Linked DNA regions of Notamacropus eugenii. The protein of the gene in region 1 interacts with the protein of each later gene in a pairwise test. Links are inferred from orthologs where the notes say so. Each region holds a gene or a part of one and is shown on either strand. Other genes may lie near its edges.

The links.
Region 2: the proteins of ZYX (region 1) and TUFT1 interact in binary tests that used the Homo sapiens proteins (3 or more experiments, as listed by UniProt). The link is inferred for Notamacropus eugenii from reciprocal best matches to the Homo sapiens genes ZYX and TUFT1.
Region 3: the proteins of ZYX (region 1) and CASS4 interact in binary tests that used the Homo sapiens proteins (3 or more experiments, as listed by UniProt). The link is inferred for Notamacropus eugenii from reciprocal best matches to the Homo sapiens genes ZYX and CASS4.

The regions. Positions count from the first base shown.
Region 1 is NC_092874.1:104,911,758-104,919,009, forward strand, and holds the start of ZYX (zyxin), read right to left. Parts: upstream 3,027-7,252; 5' UTR 3,012-3,026; intron 2,634-3,011; 5' UTR 2,528-2,633; intron 2,359-2,527; 5' UTR 2,347-2,358; coding exon 2,139-2,346; intron 1,678-2,138; coding exon 1,487-1,677; intron 1,231-1,486; coding exon 1,138-1,230; intron 822-1,137; coding exon 324-821; intron 1-323. UniProt on the Homo sapiens protein: Adhesion plaque protein. Binds alpha-actinin and the CRP protein. Important for targeting TES and ENA/VASP family members to focal adhesions and for the formation of actin-rich structures.
Region 2 is NC_092873.1:305,446,798-305,454,557, reverse strand, and holds the start of TUFT1 (tuftelin), read right to left. Parts: upstream 3,059-7,760; 5' UTR 2,876-3,058; coding exon 2,816-2,875; intron 1-2,815. Other genes in the region: CGN (cingulin), read right to left, coding at 6,887-7,028. UniProt on the Homo sapiens protein: Involved in the structural organization of the epidermis. Involved in the mineralization and structural organization of enamel.
Region 3 is NC_092872.1:509,784,320-509,792,230, forward strand, and holds the start of CASS4 (cas scaffolding protein family member 4), read right to left. Parts: upstream 3,059-7,911; 5' UTR 2,786-3,058; coding exon 2,741-2,785; intron 1-2,740. UniProt on the Homo sapiens protein: Docking protein that plays a role in tyrosine kinase-based signaling related to cell adhesion and cell spreading. Regulates PTK2/FAK1 activity, focal adhesion integrity, and cell spreading.

The sequences.
Region 1 (7,252 bases):
GTTGACCTAGAGATGAAGTCTTGAGTTCAGGCCCAGAGTAAAGCAACTTAGTTCAGAGCCCCACTAAAACACTAAGCATTCAGGCCTCTCTAAATTTAGTGCTTTTACTTACCCACTCCCAACCCTACCCCACCCAAACACCCAGACCCTTCCAGGTCCCTCCTCTGGAGGTGCTGTTTCCCTTCTTCACTTTGGTTGCCTCACTACTCCACACAGAAGAAATTCACCCACTCTCATTCTAACTTTGGGTTCCAGAAAGCTCTGACTTTATGCTTAGCCTCTCCTCTTGCTCCTATTTTCAGACCCCTGTAGTTTCCCCTCACCTGGTCCTGGGCAGGAGGCGGGACGGGACGTTGTTTCTCCTGCACACGGGGCTTCTCTCTCTGTTGAGCATAGGTGAAGCTGGGAGGCTGAGGCTGTTGAGGGGACCCTGCAGCAGTGGGGGGTGAAGGACCCACCTTCTTGTGAGGGGGACCCCCAGGTGCTGGAGGACTAAACTTAGGGGTCACAGGAGTGAACTTGGGGGCCACAGCATTAAACTTGGGGGTAGAGGTAGGGGCTGGGGGTGGGGGTGGAACTGCAGATGGAGCTACAGCTGGAGGTGGAGCCACTGGTGGAGCTGGAGCCACTGGTGGAGCTGGAGCTGGGGGACCTCGAGGCTGTGTGGTTAAGGTCTTAGACACAGATACAGAGTGGGACTGAGGAGGGCTAGTAGGAGCCAGCCAAGGAGGAAGAGGTGCTGTGCCAGAAGCTGCAGATGGGACTTTAGGCTTGGGAGGGAATTGGGGGGCAGCTGGGGGAGGCACAGATCCAGATGAAACCTGCAGGGGAGAGGAGTTAGGGGGAGAACTAAGTTAGAAGAAGGTGTTGTCTATCCTATCACACACACACCCCTATGTAGGTTCACTGTGTTTATCTACAAAGACACAGCCCCCCCACACACACCTATGCAGGTTCACTTTATCTACACACACAAATACACACACACACACACACACACACACACACACACACACACACACACACACACACACACACACACACACCTATGTAGGTTCACTTTATCTACAAAGACACAGCCCCCAAACACACACATACATTCCTGACCTCCCCCACTTTCCCTACCCCATCCCTCACCCTGGGCTTGAAGGGATCATTCCGGGCCATGTCATCCAAAAGGGAGGACAGAGAATCCATCTCCAGGTCAATGCTGCTCACCTTTCCTCTAGGCTGAGGAGTAAAGAATTTGAGGACCCAGGCAGACTTCTTTATACATCGTACACTGAGTTTCAGGACTCCCCTCCCCCAAGGATATTCAATCCTACACAGCCTATAGGGCTATATGGAAGTTTCCTAAAGTTCCCTGCCCCCACTGAATATTTCCCTGCCCATAAGTGGAGAAAGCCAGGCAGAAACAGTAGGCCTCCTTCTATAGCCCTTTTATGGAGTATCCATTTCAGCCCAGTGCTCTTTTCCCTTCACTCACCTGATGGGCTGGTGCTGGAGGTTCAACCCCCACTTCTTCTTCCAGAGGAGGTGGAGGGGAAGGGAATGTCTCTTCTTCTGGAGCAGGGGGGAATGGCTCCTCAAATGGAGGAGGGGGTGGCGGAAAGGGCCCTCCCAAAGAAGCCTCTCCATCATCCCCAGGTAGCAATGGAGGTGGTGGCAGAGGGAAATCTAGAGGCAGGAGAAAGAGATTCATCAACAAGGCCCTCCTCCAGTTGTACTGGGAGGGCCTGTAAGGAATGAGGTAAGACCTAAGGTTTACTGGGCATCCTGTTCAGGCCTCTGAAGTCCTGGGTATCCCAGTACCCCATAAAGAGATCTCTTTCCATTAAGAAGGTATGTTTTAAGTCAGGAAGTCCTGCTGAGAAGGGAACTCACTCCCCCTTTCAGTTTAACAAGCAAACTCAAAGAGCCATGCCCCACACACATTCTCGCTCACACCCACCCCCGGGCCAGGAATTTGAAATGGACCCAGGAGTCCTGGCTCGGGGCCACGGGCTGCAAGATGAGGTAAGAACATCTGCTCAGACCGAGTGGCCCGATACCCTCTCCACCTCCCCACCCCTACCCACACAAGCTCCTCGATCCCTTGCACCCCTTGGCTTCCAGACATCCCCCCACAAAGTCCTTACCTTCCGGGGGTGGGGGAGGAATCTCCCCCACCTTGCCCATCTGAGCCCTCTGGGCCCCGGGCCCTGGCGGGTTCTCCGAAGCCCCGGCCCGGAAAGGGTTCACTTTGGGTTTGGGGGCCACGACCGGGGCAAACTTCTTCTGCGGGGCATAGAAGGCGGGCGCCGAGACCGAGACGGAGATGACAGGGGGGGGCCGGGGGGCCGCCATGCGGAGGCTGGGCTGGAGGAAGGGCCGCAGTTACCATGGACAGAAGGATGAATGGATGGCTCTCCCCGCCCGCTCTGGAGCCCCCAGCCCCGGGACAGGGAAGGGCCCGCAGGCCCCCCCCACCCCCCACCCTGAACTTGCGGCCGGGGCCGCCTGTCCCCTCTACCCCATCCTCTCTCACCGCGGGGCTCGGCCCGTCTATTCCGCCAGCACGAAGGAACAGTGGTCAGTGCGACGTCCAGCCCAGCTGTGACTCCGTCCGTCCGGGCGTCCCGAGCGGCTTCTGACTGGGGGGAAGGAGGGCGGGGAGACACAGAGGCAGGGAGACCATACAAGGAGCGGCCCAGAGAGGAGGCGGGGAGATCTGGAGCCAGGAGGCGGGGAGAACTGGGGAGACGAGGTGGCTGGGCTGGGCTGGGGGGTGGGAGAGCAGGAAACTCCCCCAGGAAGGGGCCCAGATCACGCCCAGGACCAGGGAAAGCAGAGAAGATCCTCCTCCCAGCAAACCTCCCCGCGGGCTACAGAGTCAGAGACGGGCCGGCCCTCCCAAAACACGCTCCGCTGATGTCATTTCCTGACCTCCCCCCAACACACAGCGGCCCCCTCCTCCTTCCCGGAGGTCTGACTCACTGTCCCAGTTCCCCCCATCCCACCCCCATCCTCACCTCCCACCCCCGTTCGGCTTTGTGCGGCCAAAGTCGGGCTGGGGGCCGAAGGAGCAGATCCAGCCTTTGCCCCTGACTTGGTCTTCCAGTCCAAACCAGCTGTTCTCTTAGCCCCCCCAGCCCTGTCTCCCCGCCCCCCGTTCTCCTCCTCCACCCAGGTCCCCAAGAATTCCCGCCTACCGCCTGCTCTGGGTCTAGACTCTAGGGAGAAAGGACGTAGACCCGCTCCTAGCCACTAAACACACCTCCCACCCTCTCCCCACGGCCGCCGCCAACACGTACACGCTTAGACAAAATCCACACGTTTCAATGGGGGGACCGAGGGCGCCGGGGCAGTGAAATGAGGAAGGACTGCTAAATCACCAGACCCTATTTCCCTAGGGGTCCAGGAAAGGTTTCTAGCTCTTGAGCTACGAGTTCAAAATACGTCTTTTCAGCAGCTCCGGGTTAGCCAGAGCTCCACCCCAAAAGCCCCTCTGGGCTAGTGAATTTAAGACTCAGAATTGCTAGAGGCATGCACTGGGCTGGCCTGAAACTGAAGGGAAGTGGAGGTGGGTGTGGTCTTTTCAGTTATTGAAGGTTTGGGGGGAGAATATGGAGAGGTCAGAAAGGTATTTTTACACACACAAAAGCCAAAACCAATTCAGTTTGGGTGCATCTCTCCACACACCCCCACACTCCTACCCCCCCTCCGCCAGAAAGAAAACCTAACTAGCGTCATTGAATAAGAAAACTATAAATGAAAGGGACCTTAGATCTACTTCAACCCCTCTTTTTAAAGAGGAAGAGTCTTTAGGCCATAAGGGTAGTAAATACCTTGTCTAGGGTCATACACCTAAGTTATTGTGCTTGTCCTTCATTTTCGAAGAGGACCATGACATCAGGGAAATGATGACCTGACTTGCAGTTGACTTTGATTCGAGTGAGGGAGTGCTATGCAAGGTCACCAGCCTCACTTTTTCCTCCACAAACACCTAGTAAGTAAGTGGTGGATGGGGACTTCCAGTGCTGTAAGCATCTGTAGTCTATCCCTCATTATCAAATGCTGTACTTTCTTCTTTTGAAGAGTATCAAGTCAATTGGCATTTATTCAGTACTTATCATGTGCCAGGTCCTGTGCTAAGCAATATAGGATACAACTACTGTACAAGCAAAAGGGACTGTTTCTGTGTTCAAGTATTTCACATTCTAAGCTCCTTCTACCTCTCCTACATGCTCCCTTATTTTCATTTCCACTACCTTCCTCATCAATTTAATAAAAAGTCAATTTAAATGTATTTATTAAGTATCTATGCAACGCAAGACACTGGATTTCAAAGATGAAAACCAATACAAACACTGACCTCAAGTTGCTTATAAGCTACACAGGCTATGTTATGTACAAGAATTATATAATACTAAGGTAACACCTCAGTACCCCACTCACAATTGGGTCTCCGGTACTCAGAGTCCACATCCACTCAGATCATAGTTCATTATCCCCTAATTTGTTAATTGTTACTAGTTAGTGAGCAGACAACAGTAGATGAATGCAAAGGCATTTAATGAATTAGCCTCATAAGAAGAAATAACGTTAGAATAATTCCCCCATAAAACTGAATAACACTCTTCTATAAACACACACCATCACTGGAAGAGGTGAACTACAACTAGGAAACATGTATGGAGGGGCACATATGTAGAAAACACTTATTCGCAGGGTATACCCAGGGATGGGCAACTCACACCTTTGAAACCTAGGGCTGCTGATGTCTTCTGGAGATGTTACCATGCTGCTCCACCTAGGAATACTCCCCACTGATCTTGCTTGGCTTCTGCTATATGGTCTTCTGTTGGTCTACATGGTTCCTGCCAAATATGGATCCACCAGATACAAGATTGGATAGCTTTGTTCTATTACTAATTTCTAACCAGCTAGAATCATCAGCTGAAGTGTGTTATCTCTTGCTGTAAGAAGGAGAGGGGTGGGCTCTCCACCATGACTCTTTTAGCTTAAAGTCCAAAGGCTTCACATCTTTTAGAAATGCAGAGCCATCACATCACATCACTGCTAATTGTTTTCCTTCCCATTGATTAGTTTGGTAGTATTCAGAGTCATGGTCATGATATAGACTTTCCTCTTCAGAGACAAAGATTTTCTTTCAGAGGCAAAGTCCTTTTGATTTACAAAATAGTTAGCTAATTTTTGCCCACAAAACATTAAGGGGCAGCTGGGTGGTGCAGTGCATAGAGTACCAGTGCAGGAGTCAGGAAGACCTGAGTTCAAATCTCATCTCAGACGCTTGACACTCACTAGCTGTGTGACCTTGGGCAAGTCACTTAACCCCAACTGCCTCATTCTGGGTCATCTCCAGTCATCCTGATGAATATCTGGTCACTGGATTCAGAGGGGTCTGGAGGAGAAGTGAGGTTGGTGACCTACACAGCCCTTCCTCACTCAAAACAAAGTCAAGTGCAAGTCATGTCGTTATTTCTCTGATGGCAACGAAGGATGAACACACACAAGGCATTAAATCTATTTTTCAACCCAAACTTCACCAAAAGCAAGGTCTCTTCCAAACTTCTATCTAATTTAGGATCAGAAAACCCTTATAACATCTGTTTATATTCCAACTGCCAAGCATCACCACTTCAGAAATACTTTAAAGACTTCCCTCTCAGCAAAAGTTCCCTGATTTTCTCAACCTCAAGGTTCTTTTTGGTCCCATATACAAATGAATGGAAGGGGAGAAAGGGCAAAGGTATATCCCACTCCCCCAGTCATCTGAATGCCTTTCTTTCAAAGTTCTTTATATGTTTATTTCATATGTATATATTTATATACATACATACACACACACACACACACACACACACACACACACACACACACACACACACACACACACAAAGATATTCAAGCTCCTAGTTTGGTCACCAACCTAATCTTAGTTTCAAGGTTTCAGGTTTCCTTCCTAAATTTGATTGACTCAATTAGATCTTTGATAAGAATGAAACCAAGAACTTTGGAATAGGGTGTTTATTCCTTTGCATTGACCACACCTTCAAAAGCAGGGAGACCAATAAGTTTTATTTTGTTTTTCGTTAAGGAGAGGCCAAGGACTTTAGACCAGGTCTAATTCTTCAAGACCTTATTTGGGTTTTGTTGGCAAAGATACTGAAGTGGTTTGCCAAAATCTTCTCCAGCTGATTTTACAGATGAATACCTACAGCAAACAGGGTTAAGTGAATTGTCCAGGGTCATACAGCTAGTAAGTGTCTGAGGCCAGATTTGAATTCAGGAAGATAAGTCTTCCGGACCTCAGGTCCAGGTCTCTAGAGCTGCTCTGCTATCTAACTGCCTCTTTTAGGCTAGGATCCTGCCAGGTGATCTTCAGAATTTCTTCAAATGCAAAACGAACACTTGCCAAAAAGACTATTTTATGGAGAACTCACATAGGGCAAAGGTTCACATGGTGGTCAGAAGAACATTACAAGGACAATCTCAGGGTGTCCTTAAGAACTTTGGCATTGATTGTGTGACATGGGATCTACTGGCACAGGACCGTTCAGCATGGCCTGCCCTCATCAGAGTAGGTGCAGGGCTCTATGAGCAAAGAAGAATTGAAATAGCTCAAAAGAAACGTGAGATGCGCAGATTTAGAGAATTCACCCCAAATGTTCACATAACGTATTTGTGCCCATTCAGTGGTAGAACATTTTGAGCTCCTATTGGTCTGATCAGCCATAGTTGGACACACTGTAACTTGACTCTAGCATAGTGACGTCATTTTGGTCCTCTTCAAGAATGAAGAACAACAACCAACTAGCCAACAAACCAGGATCTTGTCATTATATTATTTCTTGAGATTTCCTTGAAGGACAGTCTTTAGTGAATATATTTTTACAAATGTATGGATGGGAGATATTTTGTTGTAAAAAAGCATACAAGGAAGCATTTTGTTCATATGAATCAAATGTTGTTGTTTTTTTTATAATTAACAAATAATGGGTAAAATGGGACCTTAACATTCTCTAATCTTTCATTTTGAAATAGTAAAGGTGTGGTCCATAGCTGAAGATTGCTTCTAAAAGTCATTTCCCTACCTGAATACCCTTGTTAAGGATGCTCTCAATTACTATATAGGTGATTTTCAAAAGGATTTTGTATAAATGGGAGAGTAGGTATATAGGTGATTAGTTTCTGATGGTCTCTTGGTTGCTTTTTTCAGTATTAATAAAGTCCAAGATTTTCCCCCTAC
Region 2 (7,760 bases), on another chromosome or scaffold:
ATATAATTGGTTTGTTTTATAATCTTATGTATTTAAAAACATTATGTGAGGAGGGGCCGACTGGCTTCATCAGACTTGCCACAGAGGTCCCCCCAAAAAAGGTTAAGAAAAGGTTAAGCAGATAAGAAGTAGGAAGGTGAATCTTGGGGTGTGTGGGGGGAAGCTTGTTAAAATCAGAGAATCCATGCCAAAGATAAATATAGCCTGGCACACAGTAAGCATTTAACAAAGGCTTTTTGATTCATTTAAATACGAAACATTTAGGTTATCTGCTGTTTTGTGTCATCCCTACTTCTGTCCTCCTCCAATATAAAAAGGGGAAATCAGAAGAAGTTTTACCACTCACAAAAATCATGTCCACTTGAAAACTCTAAAGGACACCCTGGCTCTTGACTCCCTTCACGGATTCCATGTTTTGGTTCAGGCAGCTACACTGCCCACTCACAAAGGAATCCATCAATAAGTATTAACAGGGTTTTGGAGACCAGCCAGAGAGCCATAAGTCCCAGGTGCTTGACTAGGGCTGGGTCAGAAGGGAAAAATCCAGGACATCCTCTGGGGGGAGCCTGCTGTGGGTGCCTGATTTTCATCCTCACCCATCTCTTTCAAGGTCCAGGACGAGCTAGTAACCGGCCAGTTCATTCCTCCCTAATCTCAGTACAAGATAAACCTTTGACTCCATAGACTAAAAGTAGGAGGGAATTTCTACTTCCTGTGTTCAAAGGGATCTGGTTTCAGATTCTTTCAGAAAGGAGAAGAGGGTCTGAATTCCATTCTCCCCATTTTCTTATCCATTTTTCTGCTCTATCAGACAAGGAAAAACACATTAGAGACTGAAAGAACAGGGATACATTCTCAATAAAACCAATGCTTTGGCCTAATGACCTCAGGAGTGCCCTGCCATCTCTGAGACTGTTTCTTCATCCATACAGAGTATTGAATATCCCTTTCCCTGTCTATTTCTTGCCCCCCCACCATACATATACACACACACACACACATCTTCTCCCTGCCCCCATCAGGGACAGGAAACAAGAAATCGTAGGGCTAGGCCAGGGCAAAGAACAAAAGAGAATGAATGTTCTGTTGAGAATCCAGAAACTAGGATAGGATAAAGAAGAAAAGTAGCCACTGCCTAGAAGGAGGCATGGTCTGGGGGGTGCAGGACCAAGGCATCTATCTGCTTGAAAGAAACTCAATTTCCTTTGCTGGGGGGCAGGAGACAAGGGGAACGATGAGTGAATTCCAATGCCAATTATACGAAATTACCAGTGCACAAATATAATTTAAATGAATTAACATGTGAGTTGGAGAAAGGCTACCTCAAGGACAATGCATCAGGCAGCCACAAAAGAGGAGGAAAAAATCCAGGGAGAAGGGAGACACACCTCCTTACAAACATCCCCTATCCTGTTTCACTCTAAACCATAGCAGCTTGAAAATCTATGAAACCAGACACACCCACGCTGGGTAAAATTCCCTAGAGGAGCCAGAAAACACAGAACCACACAACTTACCCTCCACCTCCTCTCCCTGGGAAACTCTAGGAACAGCTGGGTAGTGGGGTCAAAGAAATATGCGGCACACTTGTATTGGGGTGGGGAAATCTCTAGGCCCTGTGTAGTAAAGGACCAGGGCCCATTTCTTGTCCTAGCTCCTCCTCCTCCACCCTGGCCTCCCACAGACTTGAAGATTAAAGTACAACTAAAAGACACTCAGGATCACACCAGAAGTAGGTTGGGGTCACAGCCTGTAGGATAGAGGACTGGTCCCATTAGAGGCTCTCCTGGGAGGTGGATTTCTCCACAGCAGAAAAAGACCATCTCTCAAAGAAAGACATGCCTCTCTAGGTGGTTTTCATTTGAATCTTGCTCCACAGGAGGAACCTGAATAAGGAGGGGGAAGGGCAAATCCAGTCTTTTTTTTTTTTTTTTTGGTCCAAAAAGTACCCTGCATCAATTTTTTAAGAGCTCAGCTGCATCTCTGATGCTACAGGTCACAAAGTGAAACCAGAAACTTCTGAATTCTTCCGAAATCAGAAACTGAGAGATAATTAGAAATAGAGTAAATAAAAAGCAGGTCCTCCCCAGATTCACATCCTGTCATATGAATTCATTATCACCATCCATCACATCATCACTCTTTTACATGGTACTTCTAGGTAGACTTAAGTCTTTGCCTCCTAACGAACCTGTGAGGTGGGGGATGCAGATACTATCCCAATCCCCATTTTACAAATTAGAAAAACCGAAGTTCCGGAAGAGTTCAGCTGATTCAGCCTTTTCTGATTTACCCTCAATGGTATGTCGGTCTGTCTTCTCCAACTACCTGGTATTGTAATTTCCTTGGGTGCGTGTGAGCCGCTCCTCCAGCAGAAGGTAAATTCTGGGAGGGCAGGGGCTATTTCCCCCTTTAAAATTAGCTAAAGCACCGAGCATAAGGCTTCATGAACGCAGGTTGAATTGAAATACGTCCTCCCTCCCTCTCTCAAGGTTCAACCGATGAGTGATCCAAGCAAGGTTCAAGGGCTAAAGTCGTCACCGCACCAGCAGTGTCACGGGGAGCCAAGGACGGGCCGTCGCCTCCCAAGGGCAGGTGGCCAATATCCCAGACCATGTCCGGGAGCTGTACCCGGCTGGGGGTGGGGGCGGAACGCGAAGAGGCCTGATACCTGCGGAAGATGGCACAGGACTGGGAGGAAACGCCTAAGACAACCGAGCGAAACTGGGGATGGGCCGGGAGAAAGGGGAGCAGGGCAGGGAATGAAGGGATGGGGGACGGGACTGCGCCCCAGCGGGCCGCTGCCCCTTCTTACCGCGCTCTCCCCCTCGGGGTGCAAGTCCACCAGAGCACACCAGTTGCCCGTCCCGTTCATGGTCTTCCGGCCCGGACCGCTCCGGAGCGGTTCCGAAAAGGCCAGCACGGCGCTCCGCAGCGGTCCAGATCCTACTGGGAAGGCGGGACGCCGGGACCGGCCCCCCTATATATAGGCGCATCGAGCCACGGGCAAGCCGGGGAAGCCACACCTCCTCTCAGTCTAGACTCAGCCAACTGGAAGAGGACAGAGGGGCGGGGGAAGCAGCTAGGGGCGGGACAGGGTATTAGTAGCCTGGCCACGCCCCCCTTGGCGGCAGTTTCTATTTGCATAAAGGGCGGGGTTATGGCGCCACACAGGAGTGACTTTCCAGGTCTCCAATGTTAATTTCAGTAAGTGTTACTTTATAACCAAAGTACCTGAGAGCTCGGGTAAATGTAGTCCTGGCCCGTCTCATAGAACAGCTGAGCAAACTGAGACCCAGAGAGGGGGAGTGGCCTATCTAAAGTCAGACAGGTAGTAAATAGATTCTAGGTCATCCGACTTTCAGGTCAACTTCTTTTTTTCTCTCCCTATCCCTTTCCTCTCCAACTGGCCTTCCTCAGCGTCTCCTTTCCCCTCCCCAAGCTACGAATTAGTTCCTAGCTGTTCCGGATGGATGGATGGAACCAAAGGGGGGGGGGGGGGGCTACCTCATGCCTAGAGGGGATGGGGGAAGTATTAGAACTCCACAGAGTTCTAATCGAGTCTGACAATGGAAAGGGAAGATGTTGGAGACTCATCTCTACTATTTGATTTCCTCATCACTAAAAGGCTTAAAAAAAAGTCCTTTCCAGTTCTAAACCCTACGATATTGTGAGCATAAGAGCTTTGTGGAGCTGGATGGTCCCTTTCTCTTCCCTCTGTAGTTATGCATGTCAGCGAGTCACCCTCACTAAAGCTGAGTATAGGCCTGCCTGTCAGGTGCCCTGGCTTGGCAAGAACCTGCCGGTGGATGCCAGCTGGTTCTGTTTTTGTCCAGGCAGGGTTTAGAATCAATTGCAGCTGCTCTCCTCCATAGGCGATACAGGTGGGCTGAACTGCCAAGAGTGATCTGTACTCCCAGGAACTAGACTGGCTTGCCCTCCCGGATCAAGTCTTGTAACTTGATCTCAGGGAGCCAGCCATCTTGCATGCTCCACACAATCATAGAATCTCCCAGTTGGAAACAATCTCACAAATTATCTAGTCCAAACTGGAGCAGACTAAGAATTCCCTCAACTAAATCATCAATAAATGGTCAATGCTCCACTTAAAGAGTTTCAATGATGATCACTAGCTATTTCAGTGCCAGCTTATTCCATTTTAGGGGAACTCAACTTTTGAGCTTTTTCCATATCTGCCTCTGCAACTTTGTGCATTGCTGGATTCAGCCCTCTGGGACCAAGCAGACTAAATCAAGCCTCCTTTTTACATGACAGTCCTTTCAGTATTTGAAGATAAGTAATATCATCGAAAGGCAGCTTGGTGGTATAGATGACAGTGCTGGATTGAGAGTCAAGAAAACCCGAGTTTGAATCCAGCCTCAGATAACTAAGCCGTGTGACTGCAGGCAAATCATTTAATCTCTCTCAGGCTGTTTTCTCATCTATAAAATGAGGATAATAGCACCTACCTCACAGAGTTGTGGAGGATCAAATGAGATAATATATGTAAAACACTTTGCAGACTGTAAAGCACTAAGTTAAGTGTTAGCTGTTATCATTAGCTATTTTCAGGGTCCTCCCTAAACCTTGTTTTCTAGGCAAAACAGCCCTAGTTCTTCCAAATGATCTTTTTATTCACGGTTTCCCAGTACCCTCACTCAGTTGATTGCACACTTCTGAATGGACTCTAGTTTACCAAAGTCCTTTTATAAAGTTTCTTAACATGTAAACGTTAGCAAAGGGATATAGGCAAGCACGTCACAATTTTCATGTTGATAGCAATTTTAAAACAAGGACTCAGGAAGTATAAACAGGTAAGAAGAAACTGCAAAGGCTGATAAACAAAACCCCCTTTCTTCTACTTAAACATTCCAAAGAAAGAGAAGACAAGGGAGCAAAGCTTTGGCATAAGACCCAGAGGCTCCAGTTCCCAGCCCAGGCACTCTACCACTCTAGGCAGGTGACTACCACACTGGGTCACAGGTAAGTTAGGGCTTCGTCTCAGAATGAGGCACGATAAGTCTGGCATTGGAAAGACTGCAGGTGGCCCCGGGCACGTTTGGTAAGTTTGCTGTTGGCATACCCCTGTGCTGCTAGAACTCAAGTCCACCAGGTACCCTGGCAGATAGCACAGAGATAAGTAGCACTGGAGATAGCACCATGCCTGAAGATAGCTGCCCCTTTCAAACAGACACTTGAACAGGATTGGCAGAAACTCTGCCTCCCCACCCCACCACAAGGATTGGGCTCTATGCCAAGTAAGAATGGGTGGGGACCCTTGCACCTGAGAAATGGGTGTTGGGAATTTCCTTTTCCCCTCATCCTGATAGCCCCAGGGAATGAGAACCAGTTCTATTTGGTTCCATATCTGCCCAATCATTCCTCCCCCCCTCTTCAAAGCCCCTCTGCCCCTAACAGATTCCACAACCTCCATGCCTTTTGTACCTCCCTTGAATTTAGTGGAGAATGGGACAGGTCATACAGCCAGGACCCCTGGGTTTTTCTCGGGCTGCAGCTTGTGCTGCCCAGCTCCCTCCCCATCATGTAGAGCTGTGAAGTCCCTTCCAATTTCAGCTCTTGGATGTTAAGAACTTAGGAAAACAGCCATAGAGGGAAGGTGAGGGGATAATGAGGTCCACAATATAAAGATATATATATTTATATATATATTTTAATTTAAAATAAAATCAAGGAGGAAAAAAATTGGAGGGAAAGAAAGATATCTGATTTGTCCAAGGAAAAGAGGTACAAAAATCACAAAGTTACAAGTCATTGGTGAGTGTAGTCATGCTTCCCTCCCCCAGGCTGCTGCTGCTGATTCATTTGGGCTGGGTCTGTCCTAAAAAGCCAAAGGCTGTATGGAGGTCTTCATTTCCTCCTCTCATTCCATTTTGAAGTCAGAATTCCAAGCTTGAGGCAGAGAAGCTAGCATTAGGGACCAGGCTCCTGAGAAAATGAGGGATCCTTGGATTCCCTGTTGTGGCCAGGAGTAGATCTGTGGGAAGCCTGCAGTGGAACCATTAGACCTGACGAGGCTCTTTGATCTGTGAATCTTTAAATGTATTGAGACAACTGGCAGGGCTCCCTAGCCCCAACCAAATCATAACCACATAGCCACCAAGGGAAGCCCATGAACGTAAGAAGTCCTTCCCACAAAACCATGTTACCCTAGCACAGGCCCTTTTTGCCTCTCCTTTCCCTAGAAAGGAAAGACAGCTTGTCTTGTTTTACCTTCTTAACCAGCAATCTGGAGAATAAGGATGAGCACAAGGACCAAAAACGGAACCTGATGGTGATGTGAGGAGGTTATGTTTGGAAGAGCATCACCCCATCTCCTCACCCCAGCTAAGGCACTGAGAAGAAGGTAAGAAGGATGACTTGGGAAGAGGAAAAAGGGTCCCTTGGATCTGCTGGCTCAAAGCAGGTAAAGGTAAAATGGAAAGTCTAGAGGCATTGGGGTACCCCAGTGACCCACAGATTGTGCAAAGAAAAGCAGGCAGGACCACGCCAGCGTGTCCACAATCCATGATATCTCCCTTCTCCCAAGCCTCCTTTCCCAATCAGGAAAAGGATGGGTAAAGGATCACATGGAGAATGTCCCTGAGCCTTAGGATAAAGAGGCTGAAAAAGTACAAGCTCTATAGGTTAAAATCTCTTAATTCCTTCTCTCCTGTCACCTACCCACTCCCACCCAAACTCCGCAGAGGAGGCGAGGGAAAGTGCATTTCATAGCTCTACTCTGTCCCATGCTCAGGAATTCCCCTTACCACCATCCAGACCCTCCCTCTAGCAGGGTCCTCTGGTGGACCAGGGAAAAAGGAGCCTAGGGTCAGAGGAGGGAAGAACCTTCTGCAACCTGGCCGCTAATCTCCTTGCTGACTACTGGCTAGCAAGAACTGGTCTGGAGGTTGCTCTCAGTGAGCAGTGATGCGATGGATGAGGGGTCATAGATATTGTCAAATTCCTCATCTGAGCTCAGGCCATCACGCTTGAGGGATGCCTCAGCTGCTGAACGGGTAGCCTTGCGCCTAGGGAGAGGGAGAGAGAGAGCACTGTCAGTCAGGAGAACTGATGCCGATTTGATTGCCAAAAGACAAAACCCAATTCTTTTGCCTCAGCTGGCCCAGACAACAACTAGAATATAATCTCCTCAGGAAAAAAAGACCATTTTCCCTATTTTTTTCTTTCTATATCCCTAGTATCTAGTCCAGTACCTTGTACATATTTGGCACTTAATAAATGTCTGTCAAACTAAAAGAGCCTTACTTTTAGAATCTTCTCTCACCTCAGGTAAACTCATAAGAATAATAATGGCTAACATGATAGAGCACTTCAGGGTTTACAAGTATCTCATGATGCTTACAACAATCCTAGGAGGTGGATGCGATCACTACTCCCATTTTATAGTTGTGAAAATTAAGGCAGACAGAGGTTAAGGTCCCTTGCTTAGGGACACACAGCTATTAAGTGTGTCTGAGGCAGGGTTGACTTCAGTTTTCCTGTGCCCAGATCCAGATGTTCTATCAACTGTGCCACCTAGATTCTGGAGATGATCATATTACTGGGACCCAACCAGGGTGCCATAGGCAGTGTAGTCCTATCATGCATACAGTCAACCCAGGCCTAACCTCTCCAATAGAGCACCTAAGACTTGCTGAGCCCTCCTTATGAGGCCCACAAGAACACAGGAGCTGACCAGTCTGTTTGTCTCCATCCTCACCTCCTCCTTTACCTCTCCTTCCCCAACCCTATGGAACCTA
Region 3 (7,911 bases), on another chromosome or scaffold:
ATCCTGATTTTATTCATAGAGATTGATCATAAGAAGTAGTAGACAGAAAGAAATATAAATTTGGAAGACCCACCAAAAGTTACCTAACTTATCTGATAAAGACAACCTTAAGATATCACTTTATGTCTACTTTAATTGCAAAATAACCCCAGAAATGGTAAATCAATGTTGGGAAAGAAGTTCTAATACATTTTAAAAAATAAAATAAAAACTAATGAATTATTATTAATGTGAATGCTGATGGTGGCAAACATTTTGAAGAGTAATCTAGTAATATATAATATGATCTAATTAACAGATCATAACTTTAGACCTGGTGACTCAAAAGTGAGGCAGCAGAGTAGAAAGAGACAGCCTTGCACCAGGAAGATCTAGGGTTACGGAGCAGCTAGGTAGTGCAGTGAATAGAGCACTGGCCTCAGACACTTGACACTTACTAGCTGTGTGACCTTGGGCAAGTCACTTAGCCCCAGTTGCTTTGCCTTCCCCCTTCAAAAAAAAAAAAAAAAGAGATCTGGGATTAAGACCCGAGTCTGTGACACATCAGGGTCCAGTGACCCTGGCTGAGTCATTTTACTTTTTAGTGACAGCTGCCCCCAGACAGCTAAGACTCTTAAGTTGCAGAGATGGAGCAGAGTTAAATTGGGAGGAGTTTCCTCACCTGGGAGTTCCCTACTCCATTGAAATCAGAGGTCAAGTCCCTAGACCTTGTCTTTAAAAAATGGAATAGAAAGTAAGTAAGGATCTATTGATACAATCATTATCTCTGCTTCTCTATATGTAAAAATAAATAATTAGAAACATCTATGTTTAATGTTTAGAGAATGTCATGCTCAATTGTGATATTTATATTACAGTGCTACCCCCTAAAGAAAGGATAAATAGGAAGTGTAAGAGAAAATATGCAAAGACCTCTATGAAGGAATGCAAAGTAAAATGATCAGAATCTTCTAACATATAATGTTTGAAGAAGCAACATGGCACATAATATAACATATATATGCATATATGTACATACTGTATATGCAGTTACATATGAAGCAATGTGCCATAATGGATAGAGAGTTGGTCTCAGAGTCAGGAGGACCAAGATCCAAGATCTAGCTCTGAAACATGCTGGCTATACTCCTGGAAAAGTCACTTAATTTCACAGTGCCCCATGCAGCAATCAATCTAAGACTGAAAGTTGCAGAATGAAAGTTGCAGAATGATCACAGATCTATGCTGGTGGAGGCATTTTCTTCACCAGGAAGAGATTCCCTACAATAGTAAAATAGGTCCAAATATAAACACACACACATACACCCCTCCCCACACACACACACATACACACTCATGCACATGCACATATTTGAAAGCCAAATGTAGCAGAGTAGCAATCTTGGAATGGAACAGAAAATAAAAGCATTTTTTGTTTGTTCATTTGTTTCTAATTTGTTAAATGTTGAAGGTTTACATAAAATTTTACATGTTTGTTTTCATCAATTGGTACAAAAGCATATTCATGAATTAATAATTTGTAAATGATTAAGTTTATAATAAAAATTAAAAACAAAAGCAATGTACTGAATCACTTCAAAAGGAAGTTAGTGGTCAATAACTAAATATTTATTAAGCATATATTATATTCTTAGCACTAGGTTAGGTGTTGTTAAGGATTTTTAAAAAAGTAGAACAATGATTAATATTTATCCATCACTTAAAAGATTTGCAATGCACTTTATACTGGGTGTCCCAAAAGTCATGGCTTAAAAATGACCAAAGACTTTTTAGACACCTTGCATCCATGATCTCATTTTGATCATGACACCCCTACCCCCATCGCCACCCTCCATGAATTACAGTACTATAATTATAATTATCCCCATGTTATAAATAAAGACACAGAGAGATAAAGCAATTTTCCCATAGTCACGCACTTCTTGTCAGAGAAGGGATTCGAACTCAGGTATTCCAGACTGTAAATCTAGTTCATTTTCTAAACAATATAATTAATATTTATATGGTACTTACTATGTGCCAGACATTGTGCTAAGCACTTTACAAGTATCATCTCATTAGATTCTGATAATCCAGATAGGTGCTATTATTATTCTCATTTCACAGATGAGGAAACTGAGGCAAATGGAGGTTAAGTGACTACATCAGACTGACTACTTTTGGTCCTACCTCTCAACAAGTTTACAATTTAAAATAAAACCAGCTAGTAATTATTTAACTGTGAGTTACTGGCTTTAAGTGAAAAAAAATTCAGTAGAGGGTGGAGGGTGGGGTGGGGAAGCATTAGGAATAGTTATTCCTAAAAGTCTAAGTGAAATTCTAGGCAAATGTAGTAGTTTATCATACTTTGAAGCACAGAGCTGGGTACACAGAAGAAACTGAATAAATACTTGCCAAATTGACTGTTTGGTGACAGAGAGATACTATTGTTTGTTGCCAGACACAGCTAAAAGGGAAGGATTCCCCTAGCCACTCATTACTTCACATGGTTTCTTTGGGGCTGAATCACTGACAAAGAATTGCATAGCACAGGTGTCCCACACAACAGATGGTCTTAATTAGCTGAGCTGCTAGTCAAGGCATGACTCTCCCCACACGCACACTCTCCACTAGGGCATTTGTATCTCTTCTGTGATAAGGAATGAATTATTACATTTAGCCAAATTATAAGTACCTGTGTCCCATTCAAAGGGCTCTTTCTTTTTCCTCTTCCCCATCTAAATAACCAGGTGTCACTTACCTCTGGAGATTTGTTCATGATGCTGATCCCTTTGAGTTTTGTCATGCCAAACTGTGCCTCTTGTAGTATGACAGACAGTCACAGTGGGAGAAGGAGGCTGGATGATTAGGCAATGTCACTTCTCAAAAGTGTCCTTCAAAGACGTCATCTGACAACACACAGGAAGGTGGTGAAAGGAGTCTTCTAAAAAGCAATATTTCTAGAACGTCTCTTAAGTGGAAAATGAAATGGATGCGTATGACCCCATAAATATGACCTCCTCTCACTCTTCACTGGTTTTCTGTGTACAAGCAGAGATCGCCAGTCTGTTTGCCCGTCTTACACTCACTTCGTAAAACCACATACACAGGGAGAGAAAAAAAGGTCAGCCTACCATTTCATAGAAGTTCTTATTTCAAATAACTCAGTGAAGAATGCTATAGGCTCTGGATTTTGCATGCCGAAGTCTGATAGGTTCACACTAGGGTGAAGTGAATCAGACTTCTTCAAACTTTCTCCACTGAAAAGAAGAAAAAAGGTTAATTTGCAAGTTTTCTACATTTAAAATCCTCTTCATTATCAAAGGGTTGGATGAGATAATATAGGTAAAGTGCTTTGCAAACATTAAAGCACTTCATGATACCTCCTTAATGCTAGTGCCTTTTCTCTGATAATTATCTCCAAATTATCTTTGTACATAGTTGTTTGTGTGTGTTAACCTTGACACATGCTGTTCCACCCATTAGACTATAATAAGTTCCTTGAGAGCAAGGACTGTCTTTTGCCTTTATTTGTATTCCCAGTGTTTAGTTTAGTACTTAGCACATAGTAGGTACTTAATAAATGTAGTTTAAAAATGTTAATTATATCATCATCATCATCATTGTCATCAGAGCAAGGAAATGGTCCTGGGTTCTTAAACGCTATGCCAATGGCATAATTTGGGAAGGTCTTATCATATCAGAAAAGCTTTAAATATGGACTTTGCAAGTCTGGCACCCAAGTTCCAGGCCACCTAAATGCAAAAAGGCTCATTGGTAGAAGGCTGGACACTATACGATGATTTTTTTAAGCCATAGCAATCCATGAAACCATTTGTCTCCTTTCTAATTCTATAGTGATAGTGGTGGGAAGAGAGCAGAGGGTACTCGCAGTTGTATGTCTCTTAGACTATTTTACAAAAAAAAAAACATTGAGCTGACACTCAAATTTTCATATGAATTTGTGATCTCATCAATGTGAATGTTTTCTCCAGTGATACAGATCACAATCCATCCATATCTGCCTGTTTGATGTGACTATTCATGCTTTTAGAAAAGGAGAGAGAAAGACAGAGACAGGACAGAGAGTGATGCAGAGTCAGAGATAGAAAGAAAAAAAGGAGGCAGAGAGACAGAATTAGAGACAGAGAATGATGGAGAGACAAAGACAGGGAAACAAAGAAAGAGAGTGACAGAGACAAAGACAGAAAAAGAGAGACAGAGACAGGAATGAAAAGTGACAGAGACAGAGATAGAGATAGAGAGGTGCAGGGAGACAGAGACAGGGTCAAAGAGAACAGAAAGAGGGACAGATACAGATAGAAATAAAAACAGAGAGACAGAGACAGAAATACAGAAATACAAAAACAGACAAACAGAGACAAAGACAGAGATAGAGAGTGAGAGATACGGAGAGAGAAAGAGATAGATAGACAGAGATACCGAGACAGAGAGAGAAAATGGCCATTAGTTTTTCATATGTCCGAAGGCAAGAAGTAACATCACTTCACTGGATACTTGGGCATCTTACCTTATAATGCTCATGATGAACATAAACAAACAGATAAAACCACAGCTTATGTACTAAGGTCTGTTGTAAAAAAAATAAAGTAAGGATTTTAAAAGTAGAGACTTCAAAGTCTTTTAAAATACATTTTTATTGATGTCTTTTGTTGTTAAATCACCTTAAGTTCTCTGTATTCTTCCATATCTCTCTTCCAAAGAGCCATGCCATATGTTGTTTTTTAATGGGAAATCCCTCCACCTCTGCAAAAGAGTAGGAGGAGGTGTCTTCTCACCTCTCTTCTTTGTGGTCATGCTCATTCTTTGTAATTTTATCACATCTTTTTTTAAAAATGTTTTGTGGCAGTTGTTCTTTACTCTGTTTTAGTCATTTTGTATATTATTTTCTTGATCCTTCTTACTTCACTCTACACTATTTCATGTAAATCTTTTCATACTCCTTAGTGTTTACATATTTGTCATTTCATATAGCACAATAATATTCCATTACATTCAGGTGCAACAATTTGTTTAGCTATTCCCCAATCCTTCAGTATTTCCTTTCTTTCTAGGTCTTTACCTCCACAAAAAAAGATGCTACTATAAATATTTGATTTATATGGAGCATTTCTTTTTATCAAAGACTTCTTGAGGCATATGCCTAGCAGCAAAGTCTCTGAGTCAAAGAAGATGGATATTTTTATCATTTTAGTTGCCGATTCTAAATTGTTTTCCAAAATGGTTGCAATAATTCACAGGTCCACCAAAATGCAGTTGTGTGCCTATCTTTCCACAACTACCCCAACATTGACTATGAAATATGGAAAGACCATGAAGAATTTGAAAATATCTTTCATAGAAATCAATGTATACCTTGGTACATTGAGATGTCAAAGCAAAGTGGGCAGCAAAGTTTACAATATGTTGGAAAATATGATGTGAAATCAAGACATGAAAGAGGCCAAAGGCTTACAGATGACTCAGATGCCTCATGCTTATAAGTCATGAATACCTCCTAGAGGAAGAAAGTTGTAAGACACTGAATGTGGTGATCATATAGCAACATTTCAAAAAAAGTGAAAATTATTATATCTTAACAAAATAGCAAATGTCTGGTCATTGGAGTCATTTCAGATCCAGCTTTCTGATTTCACTGTATAGTTTGATTGAAGGACCAAATCAAAACCAGCCTGGAGCAATGAATTAAAACGAGAATAAGATGTTGTGTGTGATTGCAACAACTCTAACTGCATCTTTTCAAAGGAGTTGTCATCACTCCTGTTATTTTCATGATAAAGATGTTGTCCCTATCACTATTTCTTAGAGATTAATTGATGTGAAATAGTAAGTATAATGAGGAAGCTATAAGAGCCCAGAAACTGCTTTATCCAACAAACATCAAGTGCAGACATGAACTACCATGGTTAAAATTGTTTTGCATACACATTTGTTTGCAAAACATTAAAGAGGAGGATGGAAAATGGGTAATATCACTTGAACAAAACAGTGAGAGCATGAAGAATACTTACAGAAATAAGTTGAAATAATTAATTTCCAGATATCCATTTTCAAAAGGTACAATAATATCTATGATAGTAGGGTGGCTAGGTGACCCAGTGAATGGAACACTGGCCCCGGAGTAAGGAAGACATGAGTTCAAATTTGACTTCAGACATGCACTAGTTGCATGACCCTGGGTAAGTCGTTTAACCATATTGACCTTAGTTTCCTCATCTTTAAAATGAGCTGGAGAATAAAATGGCAAACCACTCCAGTATCTTTGTCAAGAAAACCTGGGTCAGGAAGAGCTGAATGTGACTGAAACAAGTCAACAACCACAGTGATAGTGGTAACACAATTCTTGCTAAGTCTGGTCTTAAGGCCTCTCCTAGTTCAAAAACTGTTGAATTTACCCAAATCTTAGTTAATTTTTTTTTTTGGTAATTTAATGGCATTAACTAATCTTTTAAAAATAGCATCCTGCCATTGAGTAATAGCTCCATGCTTTTGAGGACCACAGTGGCAAAGGAACATTTCATTTGATGCCCTGTGTCAACAACAAACAGCCCTTATTTCCAGAGCCAAATCTCCTGACCCCATTCAATGGGACACAGTCCAATCTGGCTCTGTGAATGAATCACCAGTCCATAAATCAGGTAAAGCATATTTTCTTCATAAGGAAAATTGAGACTATAACCATCAAGGTAATGGAATATACTTTATACTGATTGTGTTTGCAGACTACTTAAAATAAAAACACCACACATTTTAAATTCTTCTCAATTCCTTCTAGGACCAACAAAGTGTTATTTAGCCATAGTTCCAAGATAACACTATTCTATTCAGTCTCCTCTCAACTGAGATTTTAGCTGACAGTCATTGGGAGGCTACCTGTAGCTGGGACCAGATGTTAGATGCTACTGTGCCTTCATTTCCAAATTCTTCTTCCATAGAGTCATTTAAATAAATGATCATGTGCTCTGATTGAGGTTCATGTTTTATTTTGTTCCTTACTGTATCTCTAAGAGAATGGTTGGCCCAGATTAGTTGATGCAGAAACATCACTCCATGAACCACCTGAATGATGCCTGCTGCTACAACTGGAAGTAGTAGATTCAATCTATCCCATCTTCATTTCATAAGAAAAATACAGTGGTCAATATTGACTCTGGGGCAAGTATAGCCCCATCTCTTGAGGTCATTTTTAGCTTTTCTAAGACTCTAAGAGCACTCTCAGGGACCACATCATTCTTGAAGTGCAGTGACACATGGGGTAAGATGAAAGTGTTTACTTCATCTATTTTTTGCCAAGGAGCCAATTATGACATATCCATGAGGCCCAAGTCTGTAGTCATGTTGGTTATCACATCCTTGACAGAATTTTGGTTTGGAACCCCATGGGAATTCCAAGGTAAGAATAGATGTTTTCTTCAGACATTATTAAGATCCCTTGATTTTTATATTTGAAATTGCATGGGGCATGTTTTCTTCTGGCTATCATTCAAGAAAGATACGCATTTGGTCCTGCTAAAATGGAGTTTTGGTCATGTGGCAAACTCATTTATGTTGTGCAGCATTTTGGTCAGGGAACCACTATAGCCAATTTTCTGTATATGCTTTTGGATACCAATTTTCCTGTTGTGTGAACTATATCCTTATCTTGTCCTTGTCCAGGCACGTATTATCAATTCCATTTTTAAGTTAAAAATTACAGGACTAAGAAGGTAGCCCTGACTCAACCCTGAGTAAATGTTAATGCTTGGTGTAAGCCATTTCTAGTGAGGGATCTTACTTACTTACAATCTAACAGAGTCAATAACACTAATGAATTCTTAACTGCTTCATGTTATAGTCAATCAATATTGTCTTCTTTGACATTGAATTGAATGTGATGATTAGGCCAAGCCAGGCTACCCCACACATTTTCCT